Coturnix japonica: one gene and its partners. The protein of the gene in region 1 purifies or fractionates together with the protein of each later gene. This does not show direct contact. Links are inferred from orthologs where the notes say so. Each region holds a gene or a part of one and is shown in the gene's direction. Other genes may lie near its edges.

Region 1 (4,961 bases):
TGACATCCTAATTCTATGGGTTTTTCCTACTTCTGTCTTGTAGTAGGAGATGGCCTCGTGAAGCCGGAAGCTCTAAATAAGAAAGCAATTCAAATTATCAACAGAGTTCGAGATAAACTCACTGGTAAGCACATATTTATTTATTGAAAACGTGATGAGATGGATCAGCACCACTTTTAATATTTATATTTTGTGTTAGTCCTGTAATTTATATTCAGTAAGGGAAGGGGGTAATACAAGTCCCATCAGTCCTGAACTCGCCATCTAGAAGTTATGTTTATGTCACCTGATTTCCATTCATGTTTCTTCGTCCCTTAATTTCCAAGGTCGAGACTTCTCTCACGATGAAACTCTTGATGTACCCACACAAGTAGAACTGCTCATTAAGCAAGCTACTTCTCATGAGAATCTGTGCCAGTGCTACATTGGATGGTGAGTCTGTCATTCAGCTAACAGTGCAAAGTTCTTCTCTGAGTGATCTGGAATTAATAATTTGAGCAGAGGGAAAGCCAACAAAAACATTAGTTCTGGTGTATTTAGTTACGTATGGAAGCCTTACCACATGTTGCATATGAGCTCGTACATTTTGCAGGCTTATGGCAGAGATCCCTTAGACAGACCGTTGTAAGAATGTAAGTTGTGATAAGGAGTAATGGGAATGTAGAGCATTAAAGCTGCAGTCAACCTGAACACTTAGTGTTGGAAGTAAGGCATATGTTGGTCACTGATGTCAGTTACAGTGAAGATCTCCATATTCTGCAGCAAACATAAATGATTTAGTTGCACATTTGTCATTTGAGAGAGATAACATCAGACTATGCTTAAGGAAACAGTCCTTAGTTTTAAGCATTTAAGCTGTGTGTGGGGGGATCACCTGCCAACTTTTCCTATACTATTTCCTATACTATGTCTTCTAAACGGAGCCTTGGCAGTCTCAGTCCTTCTCAGCACTGCCTTTGTGAAGCTGCACTGAGCATCACCACCCTATTTTTGTTTCCTTTTAGGTGTCCTTTCTGGTAACAGAAGATCCCAAAGTATCCACAGCCTTTTTATTCTGGAGGCTTTTGCGCTCCAAACTTGCTCTTCTACAAACACAAACTGAACGTTGGACTGATATCCAGCCTTTGTCAAATAGTTTGAACTGTAAATGGAAAGAGTTATTGTATATTAACAAGTTGGTTTAAGCCAATTTATAGCTGCTATTGGAAAAAAAACACGAGCTGTCTGGAACACAATAGCTGATTTGGGTTTCCAAGGACAGTGAAGACTGATTGTACTGCAGGTGTCAATGGTTCCACTGGGTCTTTGGGGAACTGGTAAATATAACTATATACGGGTTTGGAATTACTTTGCAAAGTAAATGAATCATTTGCAGATGGATTGCTGCCCTGAATGGAATATTGGAGCAGATGTTAAGAATTTCAGACCTTCATCTGACCATAACCAGGTGCCTCTGTGCAGATCGAGCAGTGCAATGAGACACCGCTGGGGAGCTCTGTGTGCAGATTAAAAGGGGAACGTGATAACTGGCATAGGAGGCAAAAGGGGGAGAGCTGGTCATAACTTGAAATGAAATAATGGTTATAATAATAACATGGGAGTGGAGGAAGTCGTGAATTATGAATAAAAACAATGCACAAAATACAACAGAGTAGCCATGTTTAGATGCCATGTTGTATTTGGATATTTTTGTGCCAATAAATTACAGCAAAACGTGGCACCGTGGGGCTGCGTTCTTGTTTGTTCCTAAGTAGCTCTTAGGAAGAGACAGGGATGCAGGTAACAGGTTGCAGGAGGGGTCGCTTGGGGTGGGTGGGGGTCGCATGCAGCGCGGTCCGCCAGCCGCTAGGGGGCGCTATGTATAAGGCTTGGTACTGTCTACCCGCCCGCATGCGTTGCCCATCTCCCATCTTCCTCTCTCGGCCCTGAAGCTCTCGCGAGAGTTTCCGTGCGTCTGGTGGCTGAGGGGACAAGATGGCCGCCGCCGTGGCTGAGGGGAACGGCTGCGCGGTAGCGGGGAGCAGCGCGGCCCAAGGGGGCAAAGGGGGGCAGGGGGGACCGCCCGTGGAAACGGAAAGAGACGGGAGCACGGCCACGGTGCTGCCGGGATTCGACGACGTGGACGCCTTCGTGAAGGTGCGGGGCGGGGTGAAGCGGGAAGGGGCCGTGCACTACAGCTCCCGCCGGGCCGTGCGGTCACTCGGTGCCGTGATGTGGTTGGCATTGAAATAAAGCCCAGATCTGCGTCTGTGCTGATAAACCTCTCTCTAAACGTAAATCCTGGCACGACAGGCGTAGTGTTGTTATCGCTTTACTCTGTTTAACCTGATGAGATGGTGTGAATGAAACAACTGCCAACTTAGTCAATACCTGAAGGGAACTTACTCCCAGGAGGGGAGTAAACTCTTGGAAAGGGCTGATAATAGCAGGACACGGGGAAATGGTTTTAAGTTAAAAGAGGGAAGATTTAGGTTGGATGTTAGGGGGAAGTTCTTCACTAGGAGAGTGGTTAGGCCCTGGAACAGGCTGCCCAGGGAGGTTGTGGATGCCCCGTCCTTGGAGGTGTTCAAGACCAGGTTGGACGGGGCCCTGGGCAACCTGATCTAGTAAAGGTGTATGTTTGGTGGCCCTGCCAGGCAGGGGGGTTGGAACTACATGATCCTTGAGGTCCCTTCCAACCCGGGTCATTCTGTGATTCTGTGTGTGATTCTGTGATTAGTCGTGTTAAAAAACACCCAAACAAACCAAGGCCTTGCGATGTGTTGGATGTAACCGCACTGTTCGCACACACACAGGGATGGAGGTTTGTCAGCACAGTGTGCAGCAGGGCAGGCAATGCACTAACACGGTGTTCTCACACAGCACGCCCTCGGCACCATGGTGGCCACCACGAAGGCATCCAGCGGGCTGCCCCAGCCTGGCGATGAGTACGACTTCTACCGCAGCTTCCCTGGGTTCAGGGCGTACTGTGCAGCTCAGGGACATCGGCTGCTGCAATGGTAAGGAGACATCACAGCCCCGGCAACTGCCAGGCCCAGACAGGGGATTCTATGGAATCTCCAGGCTGGTTGGTGGTAAAAAGGATGTTTTAGGTCATGTGTCGAATTTTAGCTGAGTTGCCTTTAATGGTGTTGATGGGAACAAACTGCGAGTGGGGACTGTTGTGAAATGCTCTGGGAACAGCCGTTTAGTATCTAAAGGGGTATATAAGAAAAAAGGGGACAGATCTGATAGAACAAGAGGAATGAGTTTCAAACTAAAAGAGGGGAGATTTAGACTGGATATAACAAGGTTTTTTACTGTGAGAGTAATGAGGTGGTGATGCTCCATCTGTGGACACACTCAAAGTCAGGCTGGAAGGGGCTCTGAGCACCTGATGGAGCTGTGGGTGTCCTTGTTCATTGCAAGAAAGTTAGACTTGATGCCTTTAAAGGTCCCTCCCAAACAGTTCTGTGATCTAGAAAGTTGTTTCATAAAGAAATCAGTCCTATTAGTACTAAATAACTCTTAGCACCATGTAGGTGTTTCATACATTTGCTTTTTGTATGTTATTATAAGTATTACATTTGATCTGCTTTCAAACTTCTGCGATGTAGAAAGTTGAGAAGAATTGCATGGTTCAGTGTTCAGTTAATTGTTATTATTGTTGTTATTATTATTGTTTAAATCCATAATAACTGTGCTGTTCTCTTGCAAGCATGAGCAGGGTGATGCAGTACCACGGCTGCCGCAGCCACATGAAAGACCGCAGCAAAGTCACGGAGCTGGAAGATAAGTTTGATATGCTGGTTGACTCCAATGACATCATTCTTGAAAGAGTGGTGAGCAAATCATTCCTTAACATTACTTGTATAAGGTATTCAGGTACCACAAGTGCTTTTTGTTAAAATAATTCTACTGTTAGTGCTTTTGCAGTTATGTTTAATGTTTAGCATAGTACAGTAACTGAGCGGGTGTTTGATTTTCATTTTTGTTGTTTTTTTCCTGGAATTTAGGGTATTTTACTGGATGAAGCAGCAGGAGTGAACAAAAACCAGCAGCCTGTCCTTCCTGCTGGGTTGCAGGTGCCACAGACGATCGTTTCCAGCTGGAACCGCAAGGTGAGGCTGCTGCTCTTTTTCCCAGCACTGGTACTGCAGTTTGCCAGTGGATTTTAGTAGTTAAATGTTCCCTTGGACTTTTTCATATGTCCTCACTCACCTCCTTTTTCTCGCAGTACTGGGGTCAGTGAATGGAAGATGCTCTGGATGTCTGTTAAGTCATGTTGGTTTGCTTTCTTTTTAATAGGCAGGAGAATACCACAAAAGATCTAAGTCTGAAACCTTCCGACTGCTCCATGCCAAGAATATCTCTCGCCCACAGCTTAAGTTTCGAGAAAAGATTGACAATTCCAACACTCCCTTTGTACCTAAGCTTTTTATCAAGCCAAATGCTTTGAAACCATTGGCTGAAGGTAAGTTTTTTTGTTGTTGATGGGTAATCAGTTGAGAGTGTTTGACACAAATCTGTCCTGACAATCCAGAAGAGGAAATATTGACTGTAAAAGCAAGCAGGAGCAGATGTTGACTATTTGGATGAGATTGCTCTGTGACTCCATTGTTTATGTATGTGCAGTGTAAGATTTGGTCAGCATACAACATCTTTTTGTTGGTATACAGTAACTAATCTGTTCCCAACAGATATTCTGCTGCTTCTCTTTGCCACCATTGAATTTCCATGAGAGTCCCCCTGGCAGGAGGAGTTTTGTTGCTTGGTCTGTAAGTCTGCTTGACTTTACAGATACCTTTTCCTAATAAGTTAGAAAAGGAGATACACGATTAGATCTGCCTTTATCAAAGCTGCCAGTGAAACATCTCATCTCAGCAAGGTGTCACATTTCTGCTGCTGATTCACCTCGAGTCTGCACTGATGTGGATGTAGTTTAGAGCACGGGAATGAATGAAAGTGTTTTCTGAAGATTT
Region 2 (5,064 bases), on another chromosome or scaffold:
AGGAACCAAATACCCTAAGTGAGCCTATGCTGGGATTCATCACAACAGAGCCATCTCTGCTTGGATTGTATACGCACTGCCACGGGCTCAGCCGGGGCACGGCAGGTGTTTTGGCTGAGGGATGGGGTACTCATCTTCCTCCAACCTGCTCCAACAGCTGGAGTTAAGTCACGCTTTGGCTCTGTCGTCTGTCACCTTACAAGCAGTTCCAACGACAAACACACAAAATCTTGTCTGCAACCACACTTCTTACAATGAAAAATGGCAACAGAAACACACACAGCGATGAGCTGCTTGTGCCAAATCACGCTGGAGGTGCCCCCCGCCCGCAGGCACACCGCACCGCCGCCGCTTTCCAAACCGATAACCACCCGGAGGGAGCTCACACACCGTACACCCCAGCGAGCACCTCGCTCAGCGTCCCGCGGGGTGACAAGCCCCGCTGGGCCGGAGGCAGCGCTCGGAGCCGCGTGGTACCCGGGACACGCCGCGGTGGGGCAGGAGGGAAAGAGGGGAGGGAGGGCAACGTGGGCCTCCCCGCAGCCCATGTCACGGCCCGCTCTGGAAGGCGCTCCCGGCCGCATCCCCCTTTACCTCACCCCACCCCACCCGTAGCCCCGCGGTCCCGTGGCTCTGCCCCGCCACCTACCCGCAGGCCGCCGCCCGCCGCCACCTCCCATCCGCCCCGCCGGAGCGGGCGCCCCGCGCGCGGCACTGGGCCCGGCGGAGCGCGGTTCCCCCCCCCTCCCCAAGCGCCGTCCCCTTACGCGATCCCGGCGAGGAGGTGGGGCGGCAACGGAGGAACCAGGAAGTGGCGGCTGGCGGCCGGCGGCCCCGCCCCGGGCCTCGGCACCGCAAAGCCGGGCAGCAGCAGCCGGCACCTGCGGATTTAGCGGCCGCTGCCTGCGCTGCTTGCAGCTTCACCGGGCAGCGTGAGCCCCTGCGTGCCGGGCGGCTCCATCACGGTCTTTTTCCACTTCCAGCTGGCTAAAATGAGGCAGAAGGCATCGCTTTGTCCTTGTTATAAACGACACCGCATCCTGTGAGCAGCGAGGAGCTGCTGGCTGCGCTTCCAGTCTGGGATGGATGGCAGACATGGAGGAAGGAATGAAGGAAGGAAAGCTGCCCCTCCTTGTGTCTGAGCGCTGTGGGTGCAGCTGGGAGCCAGGCAGCACCAGCGCCATAACCTCACAGAATGACCCGGGTTGGAAGGAACCTCAAGGATCATGTAGTTCCAACCCCCCTGCCTGGCAGGGCCACCAAACATACACATTTACTAGATCAGGTTGCCCAGGGCCCCATCCAACCTGGTCTTGAACACCTCCAAGGACGGGGCATCCACAACCTCCCTGGGCAGCCTGTTCCAGGGCCTAACCACTCTCCTGGTGAAGAACTTCCCCCTAACATCCCAAACCTCACTGTGCCCTTAGTGGGCACCACTCAGCGCACCAACCAACATACAGGAGAGCCGTGCTGAGCGTATGGCACCTACAACGTGAGCTAATGGAAGCTGCCACAATAAACACCCCTCAATTACAACGCAGTGTCAAACTGGAGCCTTTAATCGCATTCCCACACCACCAGCACGATGTCTCGGGTAAAACTCCGCATTTCTCCGCGGTCTGACAGCCAGGAGAACCTCAGCTTCATACTCGGGTACCCTCATAGTCTCATAGTCTCGTGTGGGTTGGAAGGGACCTTAGAGATCATCGAGTCCAACCCCCGGGATTCGAGCCTCTCTGTAGCAGAGCGGCACTTGTACCACTTGTGCCACAGGGGGGATTCGAACTCCGGGCCCCAGTGTTGCAAGGCGGCGTTCCTACCACTGCGCCACCGGGGCACACAACCCTCAGGTTACTTTTACCTCAGCTAAGGGCACACACACACACAGGGCCGACCCCACCGCCCTGTACAAGGCGCTGAGGCGACCGGCGCCATTTCCCGCCTGCGGAAGTGCGGCGGTGCGCAGGCGCAGAGCTCGCCTCCTTCCGAGAAGCGGAAGCGGAAGTGCTCTGCAGCGCGCGGGGTGTCATGGCGTCCGTAGTGCTGAGCGACGCGGAGAAGATGTACATCATACACGGCGTCCAGGTAGGGAATAGTTGCTTGTCATCTTTGGTGATGTATTCGGCACGGGAAGCTTGAAAAGCACAGGTTCCTTATGTTCGCGATTACGTTGGTTGTCGTGTTTAGGAGGACCTCCGTGTGGATGGCCGTGGCTGTGAAGATTACAGGTGTGCAGAAGTAGAGACAGATGTGGTGTCCAACACGAGTGGATCTGCGAGAGTGAAGCTGGTAGGTGAACGGCTCAGGAGTCGTCTACATTGCTGATAAAACTGGCTTGTTTCGCTTGGCTTATGATAAATAATTGCTGCTTGTAAATACGTCCATGTGTGTCTCCTCATATGTGTCTAATATGTTGCTCCAAAAACAGCCCCTCCTATTTTATGATGTTGGCCCACAGTATCATAAGCAGATGTTGGTGGTGTGGTAGTAGAGGTTGAACCTTCCCAACAATATTTCATTCTATTGTGTTGCCCTGTGACTGATGACAGCAGATGTGCAGTCTGACAGAATGGTGTCTGACTTGGAAATGCAAAGATGTGGTATTGAATTATGTCGTGTTGAAACGATTGTCCCTGTTGGCATTCATTGTCGCATGCTGAATGCTGATGGAGACCCAACAGCGAACGTGAGCACAGTGAAGCGGGGCCCTGGGCAACCTGATCTAGTGAAGGCGTATGTTTGGTGGCCCTGCTAGGCAGGGGGGTTGGAACTACATGATCCTTGAGGTCCCTTTCAACCCAGGTAATTCTGTGATTCTGTGTGGTGGTGCATTTCACCTTGTGAAATACAAGGCATGTTCTAGATGACCATGCACGGCTGTCATACGATGAAATGAACTGTCTTGATCAGCTCATTTGTGCAAATCAGCAGATTATGACCAGGGAACTGTGTACAGAGCTGAATATCAGCTTCATTGCATTAGAAATGATGGTGACAATGTTGGAATATCAGAAAATGCATGCCAGGTGGCTCCCATAAGTGTTCACAGAGGAGCAGAAAGAATACTGTATATCACACAGTATCACAGTCTGGTGTGGGTTGGAAGGGACCTTAGAGATCATCGAGTCCAACCCCTGGGATTCGAGCCTCCTGTGTAGCAGAGCGGCACTTCTACCACTTGCACGACAGGGGGGATTCAAAGTTATAAGTTTGTCAGGATCTCTTGAACCAATACAAGGCTGAAGGCAACAGTTTCCAGGATCACATCAGTAGTGATGATGAGATGTGGTGTCACCACTACGCACCGGTGAGAAAACGCAGTCCATGGAGTGGTGACATGTGATTCCCTATTGAAGAAAAAGTTCAAGAGATAGCCTTCAGCAGGCAAAGTATTGTGAACTGTCTCTTGGGATAGGAAAGAAGTGATCCTTTTGGATTTCCTGAAACCCAGACAAACCATCAGCTCTGACTGCTACATCATGACACTGACTAAGCTGAAGGCTTGAGCTTCCAGAGTCAGGCAGAGAAGAAGACACCTTTTCTCTTGCAATGCGATAACACCAAGTCCCATACCAGTTTCAGGACCCTGGAGCACGTTGCCAAATTTGTCTGGACTGTCCTACAGCACCCACTGTGTAGTGTGGATTTGGTGCCTTCTGTCTTCCACCTCTTTGGGCTTGATGGAAAATAGACTGCTCAGGCAATGCTTTCCTAGCAGTGGTGCAGTCATAGCTATGAAACAGTGGGTTACCTCTGCTGGTGCAGATTTTTATGAGTGCAGCATGCAGTCTCTTGTTCATCAGTGGTGAAAATGCAGAGTGATGGTGACTATGTTAATAAGGTTTTGTTGCTGAGAATCTGTTCAATCAAATAATGTTATTTTGCTCTTTGCACCTCTTATATTTTCTGTGGAAATAAATAGAAGACGTTACTTTCAGAGCGACCTATGCATGTATGTATGTGCTTAGCTCTAATTGACATGATAGGTTGAGGAAATAATGACAAGATATATGAATAATTCAAGTTAGCTTAATGCATTTGAGCTAAATTTATAGTGGAGTGCCTGAAAGGCCTTCAGTCTGAACTAATCTGCTATTGGGTGTTAGATGCTGTTGTGCCTGTCACTGGAAAAAATAATTCTGCTCCTTTACAGTGAAGCAAAACTACTTCTGGCATGTGTTGACTGTAAAGAAAACAATTATTTTTTGGCGGTATTATAAACATTCTGCAGAAATAACTGATCCAGAACTGCAATGATAAAAAGGTATGGCTATTAAGATTGTCTTATATACACAAAGAAAGCTGATATGTGGGCACAGAATTGTTCTCCTAAAGCCTTTCTGTTCTGCAATTCTCTAGTAGAGCAATTAGCAAAGACAACAGAATAGATGGTAGTGTCTGCATGCTGTAGGCATCTCAACTGAGTGTATTTTGCCCATAGTTCTAACTGTGTGATGTATTTTTGTTTTAACAGGGACACACTGATATCTTGGTTGGTGTAAAAGCTGAAATGGGGACACCGAAGTTAGAGAAACCAGATGAAGGTTATCTGGAATTCTTTGTTGACTGGTTAGTATAGTAGAAGAAAAGGTAATGGAGCAGTATGCATATACACTTTGCTTCTCACATTTGAAATAAAAAACCTAATCAGATCTGAAATGTGAACCTTCACTGCCCTAACCTGCTTAGTGTCTGAGTAACAGCAGCAGTTTATTTTACTGTCTTAGCTGTGCTGAATGTTCAGAAACATCATTTCAGCTTTGTAGTATCAATTGCCTTTTTTTTTCTTTATAGTGATTGAACATAGACAGTATCTTTCAGTAATGAAGCATTCCAAGTATTGACATGGGGGAAGAAAAGAATTAATTTATGGAGATTATACTTAAGACTGTATCTCAAAGGATTTTACTTACTTTGTCTTTGAAAGTAGTGTAAAAAGTGTATTTAGTGCAAGATCGTTTATTAAAAAGAATAAATTCTCATAAACTTTAGATACAAAGGTTGATTAGAACATGGTTTTATTGATCACATTTATCATCAAATCAGTATTTTATTAACTAC
Region 3 (5,005 bases), on another chromosome or scaffold:
GGAGACCGGGGCCAGCACCACGGGTCGCATGCGCTGCGTCATCTGCCACCGCGGCTTCAACTCCCGCAGCAACCTGCGCTCCCACATGCGCATCCACACCTTGGACAAGCCCTTCGTGTGTCGCTTCTGCAACCGGCGCTTCAGCCAATCCTCCACCCTGCGTAACCACGTCCGTTTGCACACCGGAGAGCGGCCCTATAAGTGCCAGGTGTGTCAAAGTGCCTATTCCCAGCTGGCCGGGTTACGGGCGCATCAGAAAAGCGCCCGTCATCGACCCCCCAATGCATCCCTGCAGGCTCATTCGCCTGCCCTACCCGTGCCCCATCCCGCTTCCTTGGCCCATCACATCCCCACCATGGTGCTGTGAGCCATGGAACGGCAGCAGCACGTTTCTGGATGGTCGCTGCCCACGTGCAAAGACTGGCATTGAGATGTGTGAGGAACTGGGAGCCCGTGGCAGAGCCGCTGCTCTGAGTTTGCATTGGGAGCATCAGCGTTTCCATAGGGTTTGGTGGGAAAGGGAGAATGGGAGGGCACGGCAGGACATCCCGTGTGGATTTTGCTGGTGTGTTCGGAGCTGCGGCTGCACCTGGATGAATCAAGGTTGGGTTTTATGGATCATTTGATAGGAAGGAAAATTGCTTTTGTCCTTTCTCCTCTGTGCCAGCGAGCGCCCAGCAAGGAGACGTGGCACAGCATCACTGGGACCATCAGCTTTGTCTGTTCAGCCGAGTTGGGTTTTCCTCCCTCTATCCCCAGCTGTGCCATGGGGTTTGTCTACATGCCACCAAGGGATGGGAGGCTGAGATGGGCTGTGAGACCCCCGAGGTCAGGCTGCCCGGGGCTCTGAGCACTGTGTGTGTAGGGAGTTGGACCAGGCGGCCTTTAGGAGGGGTTTGAGGGGGGTCCCTTCCAACTTGGACCATGCAATGACGGCCCAGCAGCTGCTCAGCCCCATCCAGCCCTAAGGGAGCGCTCAGCTCTGCTGCCCTCTGGGGACCGCACAGCCCGGAGCGGCTGTTCCCATTAACTTGGAAGGTTGTTGTGTTCATCCTAAATCCGAGGTGTATAAAAGCTCTCATAAAAATAAAAACACTGCGTTTTACTGCCAGAAAAGGGAAAAAAAGAAAAACCCAAGAAGGAAAATATATAATAACCCGTCACTTTAACTTTGTAAATATTTATGTAAAACATTATTTACAAGCCTTTGATATTCTATATTATGGGATTGTATACGCACAGCGCTGTAAATACATTTGTACCTCTCTCTTGTACTCGAAATAAAAAGCGATTCGGGACCGAGCGTGGTTTAAATTGGGGGGAGGGGGGGGCTGTGGGTCCAACCCCATTAATGGGTGCTGGGACCCATAGGGAGCACTCAGCCCCATAGGGATGGATGGGACCCATAGGGATGGATGGGACCCATAGGGATGTATGGGACCCATAGGGGGGCACTCAGCGCCATAGGGAAGGCTGGGACCCATAGGGGGGCACTCAGCCCCATAGGGATGGATGGGACCCATAGGGGAGCACTCAGCCCCATAGGGATGGCTGGGACCCATAGGGGAGCACTCAGCCCCATAGGGATGGATGAGACCCATAGGGGAGCACCCCCTGCCCCATTCACATCGCTGCCCCCCCCCAACCTCCCTGCCAGGAACCAAAATGGCCGCCCTGTACCCAACCCACGTGACTCTCGTTACGGCCCTCATTCAAGATGGCGTCCGGAAGTCACGTGTAACCGCAAGGCGCAGTTCCGCCTTCAACCAAGATGGCGGCGGTGTCCATGCGGCTGCCCGTGATCCGTAAAGCCGTGGGGCCCAGCCGGCCTCGGGGCGGCGAGAAACACCTGGTTGTACCCGGAGACACCATCACTACGGACACGGGATACATGAGGTGGGGATGGAGGAGCATTAGGGGACGGGGCAGGCCGCGGTTTGGGCTCTAATGGCGTCCGTTCTGTCTGCAGGGGACACGGCACCTATGTGGATGAGGAGAAGCTCGTCGCCTCGGTGGCTGGAGCTGTGGAGAGGGTGAATAAATTGGTGTGTGTGACACCGCTACAGAGCAGGTGAATATAGGGACGGGATGTGCAATGGGATGGGTAATAATGGTGTGTAATGTGTGTTAATGCTGTGTAATAATGCTGTGTAATGTGTGTTAATGCTGTGTAATAATGCTGTGTAATAATGGTGTGTAATAATGCTGTGTTAATGCTGTGTTAATGCTGTGCTCTGTCCCACCGCCAGGTACAACGGGGAGGTCGGAGACATCGTGGTCGGGAGGATCACGGAGGTGAGGAGCTGGGAGGACACGGGAGAACGTGATGAGGTCTGACAAAGAAAGAGTGAGATGCTGGAGCACAGAGAGCACTGTGCCATGCAGAGCTGCAGGAGGGCGTTGGTGGCAACCGTAGTGCCCATCCGGATCCATTGTAATGAGCTGCCGTCCAGTGCGCCCATAGGGGGAACAGGGACCCCACACTAAAGGGGGGGACACATAGGGATGGATGGGATCTATAGGGATGGATGGGATCTATAGGGGATGGATGGGACACATAGGGATGGATGGGACACATAGGGGAGTACTCAGCCACATAGGGATGGCTGGCGCCCATAGGGATGGCTGGGACCCATAGGGGAGCACTCAGCCCCATAGGGATGGCTGGGACCCATAGGGGAGCACTCAGCCCCATAGGGATGGCTGGGACCCATAGGGTTGGATGCATGCAGTGCAAGCTGTGGGACAGGGAGGTGGGCATGTCCTCGTGTGAGGCCCCATCTGTAGCACTGTGTCCTGGTGGGGCATCCTCGGTGCAGGATGGACATGGATCTGTTGGAGCACATCCACAGGATGACCGTAAAAGTGATCCGAGGGATGGAACAGCTCCCTGCGGGGACAGGCTGAGAGCTGGGGCTGTGCAGCATGGAGAGGAGATGGCGCTGGAGAGAGCTGAGAGCAGCCTGTCATTATCTAAAGTATCTTTCTGTAAGGAAGAAGGGGACTGACTTCTTAGCAGGGTCTGTTGTGATAGGACAAGGGGAAATGGTTTCAGTCTCAACAGGAGAGATTTACATTCAATATAAGGAGGATGTCTTTTACAATAAGGGCAATGAGGCGCTGGCACAAGTTACTCAGGGTGGTTGTGGTTGCCTCACCCCCACAGACATTCAGGATCAGAGCTGGACGGGGCTCTGTGCACCTGAGGGACCTGCAGGTGTCCCTGTTCATTACTGGGAGTTGTACCAGGTGGCTTTTAATGCTCTTTTCCAACTGAAATGATTCCTTCTCTGACAGCCTCTGCTGCACTGGCCGGTCATTTCTTATGGCTGTCACAGTGCTTTGCTATAGAGTCAGTCATCTGCATGACTTCCCACTTAGATTAGAGACTTAGTTCATTTTCTGAGTGTACATTAACGTTGTTTTTTCTTCACCAGGTTCAACAGAAACGATGGAAAGTGGAAACCAATTCCAGGCTGGATTCAGTCCTGTTGTTGTCGTCTATGAATTTACCTGGTGGGGAACTGGTGAGCACAGTTTGTGCAGAGAAGGACCACAGTGCTGCAGGGCAGGATGCTCTGAGCCCCTCCTGCAGTTAGCACACGTGTGGTTTTGACTTCCCATGCATTTTGCACAGTGTCCTAAGGAGATGATCCTCTCTTTGTGTTGCTGTTAATTAATGTTTTCTCATTCTACGTGACCCATAACTTTTCTTGCATTGTCCATTTTAGAGGAGGAGATCAGCAGAAGATGAGCTTGCAATGAGGGACTATCTGCAGGAAGGGGATCTCATCAGTGTATCCTTTCACTGCTTGTACTTGGACAGAAGAGTCAAAGGGATTGGAAGGGGGAACAGCCAGACCTCAGGCAGGCAGGGAAAGCTCTGTTGGTGGCTGTTGGTACAGGGCAGCATGAAGAAGTCTGTTTCCTTAAGAGGCACTGACAGGCAGAGGTCCAGTCTGTGTTTTCAGATGGGGCTGTATCACTGCACACCAGGAGTCTGAAATATGGGAAGGTATGTTGTTCAAAAGTCTCATTTTGTGCTGGTTGGATTGTATGAGTCTCTAACCCTTGTGCTTAGTGGTCTGTTAGAGGGTCAGATCTTGTTAAATACAGTGCAGTTCTATCCATGTCAGTAGAATTTCTTTGTATTTATATCGAGATAGCATCAGGATAGAGGTTTGGGGGGAGATCCTTAAGGAATAAAAGGCTCTGCAGTAGAGTATGATATTATAGCCCTTGTCAGTAGGTTAGGAAGAATTTTAGCTCCTACATGGGAGCTCAAAGCAGAGTTCCTCATTGCACACATTCCCTCTGAACTGCTGCTGTCCCTCTCCACAGTTACTGCATGAATCCATTTCTCCCACCAGTTGCTTGGGACTTGAGCTCTGGGAAGAAAAATCTTCTATCTCAAACTTTATCGCTCTTCTTCTGCAGGTCATTGTCCCCATGGCTTGCTGCTCACTCCAGGGCTCTATTTTAGGCTTTATGCAGTTGGCATTTATCTCTGTTTTTGCACATTGAAATAAGCCAAGGGGGCTGCAGTTGGGATTACTAGACCAAAGGTATTAGCACTTAAAAGATAAAAGCAAAATGTGCTTTTTGCACAGAGGGTGAAGGACAGAGACTGGATTAAGAGGGAAAGTGTTCTGCTGAATTGGGCCTCTCGCTCCTCGTTTTTCTGCAGGATGGTTGATGTCTAGTTACAATCAAGACATTATTAACATTTATGCTAAGCACTGAGAGTATTCTTCATCTTCAAAGGGCTGCACAGGGCATTAGCTAATCCTCCCAGCACTCCCAGAGGCAAGCAGGTTTTATATTCACCGTTTCACAGGAAAAGATGTTAAATTGGCTGGTTCCTGGAGTGCATGTCGGTGACTGGATATTACCTGTTGGCAGCACGTTGTCTCTCATGCTGAGTCTCATGGTCTCCTCTTCAGCTTGGTCAGGGTGTGCTTGTTCAGGTCTCACCCTCCCTTGTGAAACGCCAGAAGACTCACTT
Region 4 (4,945 bases), on another chromosome or scaffold:
ATTAATCAGCTGAGGCAAGTGTCGGGTCAGCTGTGGGAGCACAGGTGAGAGTAATTTAGCTGTGCTCCTGGAAGAAGTGGAGCTTGACTCCAGCTCCTCTAGACCTCATTTAAGGGCTGACCACCACTAAGGCAGCATCTCTTGGAGGTTGTTTCCTGGTGGAGATTGACTCAGCATTTCCTAGTGAAGGCATCCATATTGTTGAGTTTTTCCTTATAAATAACCTTTTGAGTATTGGTTACCATCTTTGTATCATTCCACCTTGCAATGCCCCTGTTGCCTTTTCTATGATTAATAGAGGGTAGCATGGTCTAGGAGCCTCCAATAAACCCTTGTAACAATTTTAGTATGTAAGTACCTGAAGAGAGTTTCATGAAAAGCTGTTTCATATTGAAATGCAAATGCTTCACAAAACTGGTTTTCATTCATCTGCACTACTGAGCAACCCCTTACTGCAAAAATCCCACTGTCCATATAGTCTGCAAGAATAGTACAACTTATTAGCTAATGTGGATGACTTGTTGAGCAATGCATCCATTTCCAGATTTCAATTCTTTTTCACTGGTAGACAATATAATGTTTTTTGTAAGAGTATTAGAGAGATGGTAAGCATTATCTTCCCTTGCAAATGCAGCAGTTATAACAAAACAGTGCTAGTGAACGAGATCCAAGTAGAACTGATTAATTTATCCTTCCCAAGATAAGCAGCATGCTGAATCAATAACAGTGACAGCTAAGATACCCAAGGAAGCCCTGATACTTCCTGCTAAATATCTGAACTGCTGCATTAGTCATGCACAGAATGTCCATTTAAGCATGAAATTCAGCTCTCTCTCTTCTTGCACAGAAGCTACGAGAATTAAACTGCACTGAAAAATGCTTAAGCTTAATTGCTTGCCTGCTGTGGTCGACCTCAATGCAAACGCTGCAGGTCCAGTTTTCACACCTGGAGCACAAATACCAGTGATTCCAAATACAGTTGGCAGTAAGTCATTGTACTTTCCAACCCTCTCCTCCCCTCCCCCCAAAAAAGAGAAAAATAGAAAAAAGGAAAAGGGAGGTGGTGGGGAAAAATAAACAAACCAAAAAAACAAAGGGACAAGGGGGAATGGTTTTAAACTGAGACGGGAGGTTTAGGTTAGATATTAGGAGGAAGTTTTTCACACAGAGGGTGGTGACGCACTGGAACAGGTTGCCCAAGGAGGTTGTAGATGCCCCATCCCTGCAGGCATTCAAGGCCAGGCTGGATGTGGCTCTGGGCAGCCTGGTCTGCTGGTTGGTGACCCTGCACATAGCAGGGGGTTGAAATTCGATGATCACTGCGGTCCTTTTCAACCCAGGCCACTCTATGATTCAGTGAAAAGGTGGAAAGAAATAGCAAGATAAGTTGATTTAATGTGGGCTGGTTCAATAACAGTGAAGATTTCTCATTGAAGAGAAGTGTTTACTTCTACTGTCAGGCAAAATGACATTGAAAGGCTCTACAGAGGGATCTGGATAGGCTGAATCAGTGGGCTGAGACCAACTGTATGAGCTTCAACAAGACCAAGTCCTGAGTTTCAGGAAGGGAGGTCACGGTGAGGTGAAGTCGGCCTCTTCTGGGTCACAGTGACAGGACAAGAAGGAATGCCGTCAAGTTGCACCAAGGGAGGTGTAGGCTGGGTATTAGGGAAGAAGGAATTCCTCTCACAAAGAGCACTAGGCGCCTGCACCGAAGAATCGCGTCCGCCCACCGCCAGGGGGCCCCATTCAGCAGCTCCGCCGGCCGCGCTCTGTGGTGAGGCGGCTGGAGCGGCCGCCGCGTGTTGATGACGTCCCGCAGCCGAGCTCACGCCGTCCGTTTGTGGGGTCTGCCATGAAGGAGACGCCGCTGTCCAACTGCGAGCGGCGCTTCCTGCTGCGCGCCATCCAGGAGAGGAAGGTGCGGTGCCGGACCGGCCTCCCCGTACCCTGCCCCGTACCCTGCCCCGGGCCCTTGTCGCCTCAGCTGCGGGGCGGCGCGGCCCGGCGTGGTGCGCTGACCGCCCCGTGTGTGTGTGTGTGTGTGTGTCTGTCCCCGCAGCGGCTGGACGGGCGGCAGTGCTACGACTACCGCAATGTGCGCATCTCCTTCGGGCCCGAGCGCGGCTGCTGCGTGGTGGAGCTGGGCAAGACCAGGTAGGAGCGGCCGGGGGTCTCCGGGCTGGGACACACACAGCTCTATGCGCATTCACCGCCCTCAGGGTGAAGGAAAGGAAACTTGAGCTGAACAACGAGAAATGTGTTAGAAAACATCCACATGGGTCTTTGTTTTTTCTTTATATGTTTTGTTTCCATCGTTAGGTATTTTCTTGCTAAGCTTTCTGACCTAGCTGCTTATTTCCTTCTGCAGGGTCCTTGGGCAAGTCTCATGTGAACTCGTTCCCCCGAAGCCAAACCGGGCTACAGAAGGGATTCTGTTCTGTAACCTGGAGCTCTCACCCATGGCTGCACCTGGCTTTGAGCCTGGCAGGTACGTCGCTTTCTTAAGAAGTCCAGGCAAGGATAATGGTGCAAGTGGTAGAAGTGCCGCTCTGCTACACAGAGGCTCGAATCCCAGGGGTTGGACTTGATGATCTCTAAGGTCCCTTCCAACCCGCACGAGACTGATACTGTGATAATGTATGAACCACTGCTTGGACACGCACAAGTATGTACCATAATGATGTTGAATTTGGGTTGATTTTGTTTGAACAGGCAATCCGAGTTACTGGTCAAAGTGAACAGACTGATAGAACGATGCCTGAGGAATTCCAAGTGTATAGATACAGAATCCCTCTGCGTTGTTGCTGGTGAAAAGGTAGGAGAAAACTACCAGTCTCAAACCATTGCATAGAATCACTGAGCTTGGAGAAGACCTCCAAGATAATCCACTCCAACCATCCACATAGCACCAATATTTCCCCACTTAAGCCACGTCCCTTAGTTATACATCTAAATATTTCTCGAATTCAATCACATATAAACATGTTTAATGATTTTAAACATAAAAGTCACTTTTTCAGGTGCTCTGTCTTGTTTTGAATACTGGTCTTTTTTCATCCTAACTCTTAAATCAAATACTCGAGGAATGTAAGCTGCTCTTTTTTGTGATTCAAAAACTGGAAGTGTCTTGGAAAAGCAGGAGCTTCTGTGGAATTATGTTACACATTGCCAGTTATACATGTTTTCCCTCAGGTCTGGCAAATCCGTGTGGATCTGCACCTGTTAAATCACGATGGTAACATTATAGATGCTGCCAGCATAGCAGGAATCGTGGCCCTATGCCATTTTCGCAGACCAGATGTTTCTGTGCAAGGAAAAGAAATAACGGTGGTAAGTCATACCAGGTTTACCTCCATAAGTCGTAAATGGGAAGTATTATACAAGGAGAACCAAAAGAGATTTTTTATTAATATTTAGTTGACTAGACTTTTTTTCTTTGCTTTCTGTTTCTTTACATTGCTCTTGCACAATGTAAGTAACCAATAACCAATTCTTTTCTCAGTACTCTCCTGAGGAACGTGATCCTGTGCCCCTGAGCATCCACCACATGCCTATTTGTGTCAGTTTTGCCTTCTTCCAGCAGGGGTAAGAATTCTTCTTAAAGCTCTTGACAGAAACAGCTTATTGTCAGTTGTGCAAAATTATTGTTACAGCACTGTGAAAATACTCTTGTTGACAGACAGCTTTCTTAACACGTTCATACGTGTTCTCCACAGTGTGATAGTAGCCAGCAGCTTGCACAGATAGGAAGAAAACTGTTACAAGGGAGTCAAAGTCAACCTCAAACTTCTGTTGTCTTATGTTAAAAACTTGGTTCTAGGACGTATTTGTTGGTGGATCCAAATGAACGAGAGGAACGTGTGATGGATGGTCTCCTTGTAATTGCCATGAATAAACATCAGGAAATTTGTACCATCCAGTCTAGTGGAGGGATTATGCTATTAAAGGATCAGGTAAAAGTCAAGGAAAACATTTAAGGATCTGTTCTGTGGTTCTATTTTAAGTCATGTTTTCATGATTCTAAACTGTTACCGTGTATGTAACGTACAGGTTCTGAGATGCAGTAAAATAACAGCTGTGAAGGTTGCGGAAATAACAGAATTAATTCAGAAAGCTTTGGAGAACGACCAGAAAGTGAGGTGAGTTTTTGGGGAAGGAATGGAAAGTACTTTGAAGAACTGATTGAAAAGTTAATGCCAGTTTATAATGAAACAGCAGGTTGTTTCTGTTTGTAATCATTTCAAGTATTACAAGTATGGAAATGCTTGCTATATTCATATATGTGAAATATCCTGAAATAACGTCTGTTGTTGGATGACTAGGAAAGAAGGTGGGAAGTTCGGCTTTGCAGAATCGATATCAAATCAGAAGATCACTGCCTTCAAAATGGACAGTGCTGCTGTAGATACCAACAATGTGGAAGAACAAGCAGAAGAAATCATAACTAAAGCTGACCCTCCTTCAGAAGTGTATGTTTTCTATTCGTTATTCCAGGGGGGAGTTTTCCTCTTATCTGCACTGGCCCTTCTAGAAGCTAGTAAGACACTCAAGCTATCAGATGGCTCCGGGTGGCCCTATAGCCTTCAGAGGAAACAGCCTTACACTGATTTTAGTTCTAACTGCTTTTAGCTAACTGGATTCTTAACAGAAAGTGCAAAACAGGGCTGAAGTAACTAGTTGTCTCACCACGTGGAGAAAGATCACGCTTTCTTAACTTTCATTGAAGGCCTGGGGAGAAAAATTACAGCTGAAAATCAACTATTTTGCCTTAATACAGTGCGATTACTAACTCCAAGATTTTCTTTACTTCAGTTTTGCCAAACCAATATTGCACACTCCCGGCACAGCCCAAATTGGGGAAGGAATAGAGAATACCTGGGGAGAGCTGGAAGAATCGGAGAGGGAGGAAGCAGCAGAAGAGGAAGGTGAAAGCAGCGCTACT
Region 5 (4,829 bases), on another chromosome or scaffold:
GGCTTCTGCCTTGTGTTCTGTATTTAGGGACTGGATCTGAATAAGAGAGATGATTAACAATATTTCTTTATCTTGACTAAGCTTTGGCTTAAACCTCTGGATCTTTCTGCTGCTCCTGCATGTTCTCTTCTTTATTCTGCTGTTCCATCTTCTCACGTTCTTGTTCCTATTGTAAAGAGAAGACAGCTGAAGATAGCGTATATGCTTTTGATACTCAGTTCCTCGTGCTCTTTAGTAGTTAATATTTATATCTCCTATACTTTGGATTAGGCTCTTTGAAGCTTTGCACAGCATCTATTATAGACAGACTAATCCATATAGATTCTATGGGAGGAAAAAATAGCTAAGATAGTTAACTGCAGAAGACAGTCTACTTATCCTAATCTAATTTTCTAACATATCTTTAGTTAGTTTCTCTTTAGCTTAGTCTCTTCATTTTTGGTAACATCTTGTCATGTAGCAGGTAAGTTTTTCTCCCCAGCTGCTCAGCTGTCCTTTCTAATTCCTTTCGAAATAATGATATTTTCAAAACGCAATGTTTAAGCACTTTTTGTTATCTTTTCCCTTTCAAGATCAGAATACAATTGTAGGTACTTTCCAACATTCTGATTCTCTTATGATTCTATGTTGATAATGACTACTATTGTAGTGAGAGCTACAAGTTGACCCAGCATCACACGCTACTATAATTATGAACAACTATTAACCTGCCGTTGTTCTTCAAGTTTCTGTTGTATCAGTAGCTCTTCTTCCTTCATTTTTCTTAACATTTCAAGTTCTTCCAGGGCTGCCTGCCGTTCTTTTTCCAGTTTGGCCCTTTCCAACGTTCTCTATTTCAGAGGTAACAAGAAATCAATGAAAAAAAAAGGAAACAAAACACAAAGAGAGATTATACAGCATCAGTTAGATTGACATGAAATGCTTTGCCCGAGGTAGACCCACCTTCTTTTCTTCTTCTAGTGTTTTCTTGTAGTTGTAGATCCAGTGTGCCAGGTACTCTATTGGGTCAGCGGGCCGACGCTCCACAACCTCCGCCAGACCCTTTTTCAAGCAGCTTCCCAGACATCTCCTCAGGTATTGAGACTCCATTCTCACCTACTGACAAACCGACAGATATTAGTCACCGATATCGGAATTCAGACAGCAGTTAGAGGAAGTGTTGACTGCATCACATCCCCAGTGTGATGTTGGTGGTTTTATCAAAGCTCATTTCATCAGGCAATTAATATGAGAAGGTGGTAGCGGTGCTGTCCCCCGTTCCCTACCGCTTCGCTCCTACCGGCCCGATCGCACAGCGCGTCCAACCGCGTTACCGGGCAACCGCGCTCCCGGCTGGATCCTGCGTCAGGCGGCCGGGCGGTGTCGCTGTCGTTGCGCTCTCGGCCCTTCCATCGCCGCCGCCATTTTGCGTCTGCTTCCGCCGGAAGGGCCGCACGCGATGGCGGGTGGGGGCGGCGTGCCGGCGGAGACCCGTGTGGGACAAGTGGTGCTGCCCGGCGATGTGCTGCTGCTGCCCGAGCACGGAGAGCCCGACCTCGACAAGCTGCCGCTGGGCACCAGCGCGGCCCCGCGGGGGAGGCTGCTGTGCGGGCCGGGGCTGCGGCGCTGTGCGGGCGGGCTGCTGGTCACCAAGTGCGGGCTGCTGCGGCACCGGCAGGCGGGCGGCGGAGCGGCGGCGGGCGGCGCCTACTGGGTGGACTCGCAGCAGAAGCGGGTACGGCGGCAGCGGGCGGCGGGGGGCGGTGATGTGCGGGACGAGCCCGCTGATCGCTTGTACCCGCTTGTAGTACGTGCCGGTGAAGGGAGACCACGTTATCGGCATCGTGACGGGCAAGGTGGGGGACGTGTTCCGGCTGGACGTCGGTGGTAGCGAGCAGGCCTCGCTGTCATACCTGGCCTTCGAGGGCGCGACCAAGAGGAACAGGCCCAACGTGCAGGTAACGCTGCCCGCCGGGAGCTTGCCTTTGTAAACGGTGTTTTTACCACTCGGACCATATAAACGAGGAACGTGACTTTTTTCACAGAGCTTTTGTCATGGCCTGTACGGGGTGTCCCGATGAGGCCGTGAGTTTTTTCTGTTTTCTCCGGAGCTTTTTGTGCTTCTTCACTTCTGACCTTACACCTTTCCCATCGGTTAACAGTGGCAGGTGCTACTCGTGCAGTAACGTGGGTCCCAAGGGGCCACCCTGAGGCTTTAAAGCATCCTCTGAACGCTGGTGCTGGTAGAGGAGGGTTTGCTTTGTAGCATTTACAAGTTGTTTTGTGATATGTGCGTTCACCAGAAACACTGTCAGCATGGTGTAAAATGGGCTGTGATTTTAAATGGAATAGACTGGTATGGCTTCTGGTGCGCCTTCTGAGTAAAGAATTGTTTCCTAACATGTAACCTTTATCTCCCCTCTGTTAATTCAAAGCCATTCCCCCTTGTCCTGTCACTACTAGGCTATATAAAAAGTCACTCCCTATAAGCACTGGAAGGCTTCGATGGGGTCTATCCAGAGCCTTTTCCAGGCTCAACAAGCCTAACTCTCTCAACTTTTCTTCACACAAGAGGCGCTCCGGCCCTCTTCTGACCCATTCCAATGGTCTTGTGTCAGGGGCCACAGGCTTGGACAGAGTACCCCAGGTGGGGCCTCACAATGGCAGAATAAAGGGGTCAGTTACCTCATTCACCCTTCTAGCTATCTTTCTTTGGATCCAGCCTGGGATCCCATTGGCCTTCTGAGCTGCAAGTGTACGCTGCTGGTTCTTGTCCAAGTGTTCATCCAGTTTACAACTGTTTTGTTGTCTCTTTATGGACTGAATGTTTCTTACAAATGTGCATTGTTATCTTCTCTAATGATTCTTTTTTTTTGTTGTTTTCTGGCACTGCTTGCTTTAGGTGGGAGACCTTGTTTATGGTCAGTTCCTTGTAGCAAATAAAGACATGGAACCAGAGATGGTCTGTATAGACAGCAGTGGAAGAGCAAGTGGAATGGGAGTAATTGGACAAGACGGCTTCCTCTTTAAAGTTTCCTTAGGTCTGATAAGAAAGTAAGTACTAAGAAAACCAGTTGTACTAAAGTGTTGGGGTTGTTAAACTTAGCATGTGTCTAAACAACACACAGTCATTAGCTCCTCTCCCTCCAGACCCTGTCCTGCTTTTCCCTATAGGCTTGGGAATAGAATCGATTAAAAAACAGACACAAAGTAGAATTCATGGGTTGAGATAAAACTGTTTACAAAGAGAAAAGAAAACAAGATACTACTTAAGAGAAATACATATATGTGAATGTATATAGGAAGTTACCCACTGACTGATGCCCAGCTAGGCCCCAAGCAGCAGGAGAGAGAGAAAAAAGGACTCATGTCCCATTCAAAACTTTCCTTTTGCGTAATGTTATATGGTATGGAATATCCCTTTGGCCACTTAAAGTCAGCTGTCTTATTTCTATCCCTTCCCAGCTGCTTGGGTGCCCTGCCCTGTGCTTCCGAGATCCTTGTTAGTTCCCCATCCCCCAGTTGGTAGGATGGTAAGAGAGAGTGGGGAAAAATGAAGTATGCTTGGCTCTGTACAGCAGTGTTCAGCAACAGCTGGAAATACAGGTGTATTATCATTGTTTTTCTCCTAAAACCAGAACAGCATCTTAGCAGGCACTGAAGGAGAGACAATTGTGTGCAGCTGAAACTGGAAGAGTAACATTTTGTTTTTAGGTAGGATATGCACAGCTGTCTCCAATTCAAGTAGTGTGAACTAGCCAGTAACTGCTATGTGGCTGTTGTGCTGCATTTATGCCAGTTTTACTGGGGAAAGGATGCATGTACATTGAACTAGAAACAGTGTGTGACTATCATAAAATACCAGCTGATAGTGATAAGAGATGGTCAGACTAGTTGTTGCTTTGATGTTGAGGGAGGAGAGGTGAGCATCTGTTCTTGGAGATAACAAGTAGCTATGTCATACCTGGGTTTAGTAAGTAATTTGGTTTATGTGTCTTATCAGTGTGAACAGCTAAGTTGTTTTTCAGCCTTGTTCTTGGTAACTCTTCTGCCTAATTAGGAAAACAGCTACAGTGCACAGGTGCTCTCTTTAGGTGCATGTGTTTTGGGAGGAGAACTTCAATTCTGATATGGCTGGATATGCAATTTGAATCGTCTTAACTTTTGGAGTTGCTTTTGTAACTCCAGTGCTACTGTTTAGCTGCTGGCTGATAATGTTGTAATACTTAGCGAACGTGAGCATTCACTTTTTCCTCCAACCCTTTCTAATCTTATTTTACAGACTCTTGGCTCCCAAATGTGAAATAATTCAGGAGTTGTCCCAACTGTACCCAGTAGAGCTGGTGCTGGGAGTGAATGGAAGAATATGGGTAAAAGCAAAAACAGTTCAACAGACTTTAATTATAGTAAATATTTTAGAAGCTTGTGAGCATATGACTGCAGAGCAGAGGAAACAAGCACTCGCCAAACTGTCGGGGAATTGAGTAAAAGAAAGTCTGAAGGTTTGCGATTGCTGTAGGATGTTCTGCTTATTTTTGTATTCAGATTTATATTAAAAGTCACACTAAATGAAGTCCTAGATGTTTTTGGTGGTTCTTCTGTTCCCTTTATGCACTCAGCTGGTCCTACCGTATTTAGGATGCCTTGTGGTTATGAAATACTGTCCATCGTTGTGGATTTTGACTGGTGTGGAGATGGGCTTGAAAAGCTTCAATTAATGGTGAGTTTTGACATGAAGTTTTTCCAGAACAAAACCGGACAGTTTATCAGCTGGGTATATTTGTTTTTACTAGTTAATAGTAAAGCTTCCAATGGTACATGTTTACTTGGGGTAACTGTGAATCATCTAT
Region 6 (4,149 bases), on another chromosome or scaffold:
TGGGTCAGTGGAGTGTGCAGAACCTGCCCCATGCTGGCGTCTTCGCTCCCTCCCTAGGACTCGGTGTCCCCAGCAGCATGAACCGCCCCAAACCCCCCTCGCAATGGAGGTACTCACCACACCAAACCAGCGGGTGACGTGGTCCACCAGCCAGTAGATGGGCTCAAAGAGGGAGTCGAGCACCACGTCGCCGTTGGTGAAGGAATTGTAGAGCAGGGAGCGGAGGCAGAGGTGCCCATAGTGCCACAGCTGCCCTGCCTGCCGAACCAGCTTAAAGCGCCGCCGCCGGCCCAGCCGCAGGCACTTGAGGAGCAGGCGCATCACCGCCGCAAACATCCGCTGCCGGCTCCTCATCCCTGCTGCTCCGAACCTGCGGGGAAGGGGCTGGATGTGGGCAGATGCTGGGTGTGGGCAGATGCTGGGTGTGGGCAGATGCTGGGTGTGGGCAGATGCTGGATGTGGGCAGATGCTGGATGTGGGCAGATGCTGGGTGTGGGCAGGCCAGGTGTCAGGCTGCACGGCGGGGCAGGGCTCCTTCACCCTGCGCAGGATGCGGAGCAGAAGCGGGTGGCGCTGAGCCCAAAGGGATGCTGCGCTCCCGAGCTCTGTGTGCGGAGGGGGGACACGGGGCTGTCAGGCTCCGCGCCTGACCTCGGGTGCTCCCTGCTCCCATCTCGTCTTTCCCACAGGGGAGGGGGTTGGGGAGCGACACGGAGAGTCTGACTCAGAGGAAACTGGAGACGGTGAGGGCACATGGGGCGAAGAGCTCATTCCAGGGCAGGGAACGCTCCAAACCCACGGGGATCCCCTCAGCAGCCTTTGCTAATGGATTCGGGAGTGAGGGAGCCCGCACAAAACACGTGCCCTGTTCCTCACACCCAGCAGCACCTGGACGGCTCTTCCTTTTGCCTCAGCCCCGGACCAAGCTGCAGAGCCCATCGCACACCGACCCCAGCAGCTCCCCGGACAGTGCCACGCTGCGCTGTGCCAGGCCGAGCTGCGGGCACTCGGACAGCAGAGGGACGCACCGAGCCCTCGTCCTCCCGCTGAGCCTCTTATCCCACCCGAGGGCCGCGATGGGAGCGAGGAGGAACCCGAGCCGGGCCCGAAATGAGGCAAACGATCCGCCGGGTCAGGGCCCCCGGGCCATCAATATTAACGGCACGGCCGGCCCGGGATGCGGCCAAGGCACGAACCGAGCGCTCCGCTCGGCACCGCGCCAGGCAGCGGCACGGCCCAGCGCCAACACACGGCCCGGGAACACAGAGCGAGCGGCCGGCACACGGCGGGACCGGCACAACCGGCACAACCGGCACACGGCGGGACCGGGACACAGCGGTACCGGCACGGCCGCACGGCGGGTGATGAGCTCCCGCTCCCGGTGACCCCGTGCTGGGCTCAGGGCTGCCCTCGGCCGTGCCAGCCGGTCACGCCGCCCCAAGGCCGCGGGCCCGCCCCGCTCCGTGCCCCGCTCCCCGCCCCGCCGCACCCATCCCGTTCCCGTTCCCGTTCCCGCTCGCACCTGCCGCCCGCTCCCCGCCGCCCGCCGCCATGCCCGGTTCCCGCCGCCCTCACGGCACCGGGCAGCGCCCGCCGCCCCGCGCCTGCGCACTGAGCACAGCGGGCAGGGCCGGCACGAGGCGCCGCACTACGACTCCCAGCGGGCCGCGCGACACCGCCGCTCCCTGAGGTTAAAAGAGAACCAATAGGTATGCCGCTTACATCGCGGCCCCGTCGCTGAGAGCCAATAGGAGGAGGGTTCTTTGCGGGCTCACGCGCGACGCTGAACATGGCGCCACCAGCTCGGTACTGCGTGCCCGGTAAGTGCGGGGCGGGCGGCGGGGGGGGACGGGCCGGTAAGTGCGGGACCGGTGCTGAGCGAGCGACCCGCAGGAGAACGGCTGTGCGGAGCGGACGGAAACGCGGCGGGGAGCGGCACCTACGTGCGGAACGGCAACATCTTCGCTGCGCTGAGCGGATGCGTGCGGCGCTGCGAGCGGGACGGGGCGGTGAGAGCACGGCGGGGAACGGGAAACGGGGCGGGACCGGGCTGAGACCGGGTGTGTGTGTGTGTCTATGTGTGTGTGTGTGTGTCTGTGTGTGTGTCTGTGTGTCTATCCATCTGTCTGTGCCCCGCAGCTGCCCGTGGTGTCGGTGGTGCGGGATGCAGAGGCGCAGCTGCTGCCCGACGTGGGCTCCGTGGTGACGTGTAAGGTGGGTGCCGCTGTCCCCACGTGTCCCCGCGGCCGGGGCCGTGTGCTCGGCTCACGGAGCTCCGGACGGACGGCGGCGGACACTCAAGGAGCCGCCCGGCCCGGCCCGGCCCACGCTGCGCGGGCGCTGAGTGCCCGCCGCCCGTTGGTGCAGGTGTGCAGCATCAACTCCCGGTTTGCCAAAGTGAACATCCTGTACGTTGGCTCCACGCCGCTGAAATCCACCTTCCGTGGCACCATACGGTAGGGAAAGGGCAGGGGGCACACTGCGCGGTGCCTGCCTGCTGCGAGGACAGCTGCGTGGATGCATCTAGCGAGGCCTGGCTGCCGTCCAGGGAGGCCGGGGCAGCTCCTCCTGGCTCTCTCTGGTATCACATTCCTGTGTCTGCTTTTCTAGGAGGGAAGACATTCGAGCTACTGAAAAGGATAAGGTCAGCGGGGCACTGCTGGGTACAGTGCTGTTACAGCTTCCCCCTGTCCAGCTCCCCTCGTGCTGCTGCCCATGGGGTGCCTATCGAGCAGTACCTGCGCTCTCCATGCACTCCTGTCCACTCCCTCCCACGTAGGTAGAAGTCTACAAGAGTTTCCGCCCCGGTGACATAGTCCTGGCCAAAGTCGTATCCTTTCCCATCGCAGTGGGAGGGCCCACGGGCCTGGAGGGTTTGTGCTGGGCTATAGAGGCAGGGAGTCTTTCCCTTAACACAAACCTAACCAGATCTCGCTGGGGGATGCACAGTCCAACTACCTGCTGAGCACGGCAGAGAACGAGCTGGGTGTGGTGGTGGCACGCAGCGACGCAGGTAGGAATCCTCATCTCCATGTGAGGAACAGCCAGTGCAGCATGGGGAGCAAACACCCTCCTTTCCTCCCACTGCTGAGCCTCAGGGGCTGCACGAGGAGGCTTTGGGCTGCTGGGGCTGGGCAGTGTGACAAAGCAGGAAGGGATCTGCTAACTGAGGATGCCTGCAGGGGTGCAGATGGTGCCTATCAGCTGGTGTGAGATGCAGTGCCCACAGACGCACACCAAGGACTTCCGTAAGGTGGCCCGTGTGCAGCCTCAGTTCCTGCAGACATAGCAGCCTCCTCAGGGGTACAGGGACCCCAGGAAAGAGAGCTGCTATGGTGGGGTCCAGCATCTTCCATACAGCAGGATGGGTTTTGTATTTGTGCTGTAAGTAATAAATAAACGTGGTTTTTTTGAGAGCTCTGTGTTCTGCTCAGTCACTGCCCGCAGGGGTTGCTCTGGCTGCCTGTAGCCCTTCTGCTCTGGAGCTGCTGGAGGGGGCTGTTTCTCCCATCAGTGTGGGAGTGAGAAAGTCTGTTCCTGTCCTGGGGAGCAGCGAGGCTTTGAGGCTTAGTGGTACATAGCACCATCTATGGCTGCTGTGCTCATCCCCAGGATGGCTTATCACCTCAGGCCATACATGCCCTTTGTTAGGCAGAGGTGTGGCACAGCCCAGAGCCCATAAAGCACTGCAGTGAATCACTCTTTGCAGCGAGGATTGCAGAACTGTGCTTTGCTGTGCAGTCTGAGCACCTTCTGCACCCACAAGTCAGCAGCAACTTGCGCATCACAGACACGTGGTGGTGCAGGAAATGCGGTGCTAGGCAAAGTGGGAGCTCCACGTGGCGCAGTGGCACAAGGAAACGCTGACATTTAATTATTGCATATTCATCTTTTATTGAACTGGAACAAGACAACTGCTACCGCTGGACAGTTAGATTGACCCAGTGCAAGCCCAGACTCACTACAGCAGCAGTGGGGGAGGCTACAGTGACAGTGCCAAGTAGACGTTTGTGGGATGGGTACACAATGGCATCTAACCACCTCCATGATGCAGGACTAAAGTTGGCTTTGGCTGGAGGAAGCACATGGCAAATACAGATCCCAGACAACACGCTCCTTCCCTTGTCCAAAAGCAATAAGTTAAAGCAG

The links.
Region 2: the proteins of EXOSC10 (region 1) and EXOSC7 purify together in Homo sapiens (affinity purification with mass spectrometry; 6 studies listed by BioGRID and IntAct, counting the BioPlex papers as one, with this or other methods). This does not show direct contact. The link is inferred for Coturnix japonica from reciprocal best matches to the Homo sapiens genes EXOSC10 and EXOSC7.
Region 3: the proteins of EXOSC10 (region 1) and EXOSC2 fractionate together in Homo sapiens (co-fractionation; 9 studies listed by BioGRID and IntAct, with this or other methods). This does not show direct contact. The link is inferred for Coturnix japonica from reciprocal best matches to the Homo sapiens genes EXOSC10 and EXOSC2.
Region 4: the proteins of EXOSC10 (region 1) and EXOSC9 purify together in Homo sapiens (co-immunoprecipitation; 7 studies listed by BioGRID and IntAct, with this or other methods). This does not show direct contact. The link is inferred for Coturnix japonica from reciprocal best matches to the Homo sapiens genes EXOSC10 and EXOSC9.
Region 5: the proteins of EXOSC10 (region 1) and EXOSC3 purify together in Homo sapiens (affinity purification with mass spectrometry; 8 studies listed by BioGRID and IntAct, counting the BioPlex papers as one, with this or other methods). This does not show direct contact. The link is inferred for Coturnix japonica from reciprocal best matches to the Homo sapiens genes EXOSC10 and EXOSC3.
Region 6: the proteins of EXOSC10 (region 1) and EXOSC1 purify together in Homo sapiens (co-immunoprecipitation; 8 studies listed by BioGRID and IntAct, counting the BioPlex papers as one, with this or other methods). This does not show direct contact. The link is inferred for Coturnix japonica from reciprocal best matches to the Homo sapiens genes EXOSC10 and EXOSC1.

What each region holds. Positions count from the first base shown.
Region 1 is NC_029536.1:3,559,589-3,564,549, reverse strand, and holds the start of EXOSC10 (exosome component 10), read left to right. Parts: upstream 1-1,949; 5' UTR 1,950-1,974; coding exon 1,975-2,136; intron 2,137-2,862; coding exon 2,863-2,999; intron 3,000-3,697; coding exon 3,698-3,821; intron 3,822-3,995; coding exon 3,996-4,100; intron 4,101-4,287; coding exon 4,288-4,453; intron 4,454-4,961. Other genes in the region: serine/threonine-protein kinase mTOR, read left to right, coding at 44-124, 327-432, 1,005-1,020. UniProt on the Homo sapiens protein: Catalytic component of the RNA exosome complex which has 3'->5' exoribonuclease activity and participates in a multitude of cellular RNA processing and degradation events.
Region 2 is NC_029517.1:39,619,333-39,624,396, reverse strand, and holds the start of EXOSC7 (exosome complex component RRP42), read left to right. Parts: upstream 1-1,955; 5' UTR 1,956-2,031; coding exon 2,032-2,088; intron 2,089-2,190; coding exon 2,191-2,292; intron 2,293-4,477; coding exon 4,478-4,572; intron 4,573-5,064. UniProt on the Homo sapiens protein: Non-catalytic component of the RNA exosome complex which has 3'->5' exoribonuclease activity and participates in a multitude of cellular RNA processing and degradation events.
Region 3 is NC_029532.1:4,557,766-4,562,770, forward strand, and holds the start of EXOSC2 (exosome complex component RRP4), read left to right. Parts: upstream 1-1,732; 5' UTR 1,733-1,771; coding exon 1,772-1,896; intron 1,897-1,969; coding exon 1,970-2,071; intron 2,072-2,249; coding exon 2,250-2,295; intron 2,296-3,437; coding exon 3,438-3,527; intron 3,528-3,731; coding exon 3,732-3,797; intron 3,798-3,946; coding exon 3,947-4,015; intron 4,016-4,943; coding exon 4,944-5,005. Other genes in the region: PRDM12 (PR domain zinc finger protein 12), read left to right, coding at 1-367. UniProt on the Homo sapiens protein: Non-catalytic component of the RNA exosome complex which has 3'->5' exoribonuclease activity and participates in a multitude of cellular RNA processing and degradation events.
Region 4 is NC_029519.1:48,282,152-48,287,096, reverse strand, and holds the start of EXOSC9 (exosome complex component RRP45), read left to right. Parts: upstream 1-1,785; 5' UTR 1,786-1,855; coding exon 1,856-1,921; intron 1,922-2,062; coding exon 2,063-2,157; intron 2,158-2,371; coding exon 2,372-2,491; intron 2,492-2,715; coding exon 2,716-2,818; intron 2,819-3,195; coding exon 3,196-3,333; intron 3,334-3,505; coding exon 3,506-3,588; intron 3,589-3,823; coding exon 3,824-3,956; intron 3,957-4,053; coding exon 4,054-4,142; intron 4,143-4,325; coding exon 4,326-4,472; intron 4,473-4,815; coding exon 4,816-4,945. UniProt on the Homo sapiens protein: Non-catalytic component of the RNA exosome complex which has 3'->5' exoribonuclease activity and participates in a multitude of cellular RNA processing and degradation events.
Region 5 is NC_029521.1:3,509,068-3,513,896, reverse strand, and holds EXOSC3 (exosome complex component RRP40), read left to right. Parts: upstream 1-1,407; 5' UTR 1,408-1,438; coding exon 1,439-1,714; intron 1,715-1,787; coding exon 1,788-1,937; intron 1,938-2,881; coding exon 2,882-3,033; intron 3,034-4,261; coding exon 4,262-4,463; 3' UTR 4,464-4,552; downstream 4,553-4,829. Other genes in the region: DYDC1 (DPY30 domain-containing protein 1), read right to left, coding at 95-166, 708-830, 943-1,089. UniProt on the Homo sapiens protein: Non-catalytic component of the RNA exosome complex which has 3'->5' exoribonuclease activity and participates in a multitude of cellular RNA processing and degradation events.
Region 6 is NC_029521.1:19,501,902-19,506,050, forward strand, and holds EXOSC1 (exosome complex component CSL4), read left to right. Parts: upstream 1-1,789; coding exon 1,790-1,820; intron 1,821-1,893; coding exon 1,894-2,009; intron 2,010-2,139; coding exon 2,140-2,214; intron 2,215-2,367; coding exon 2,368-2,456; intron 2,457-2,610; coding exon 2,611-2,644; intron 2,645-2,779; coding exon 2,780-2,830; intron 2,831-2,928; coding exon 2,929-3,013; intron 3,014-3,182; coding exon 3,183-3,289; 3' UTR 3,290-3,416; downstream 3,417-4,149. Other genes in the region: palmitoyltransferase ZDHHC16, read right to left, coding at 118-370, 1,523-1,791. UniProt on the Homo sapiens protein: Non-catalytic component of the RNA exosome complex which has 3'->5' exoribonuclease activity and participates in a multitude of cellular RNA processing and degradation events.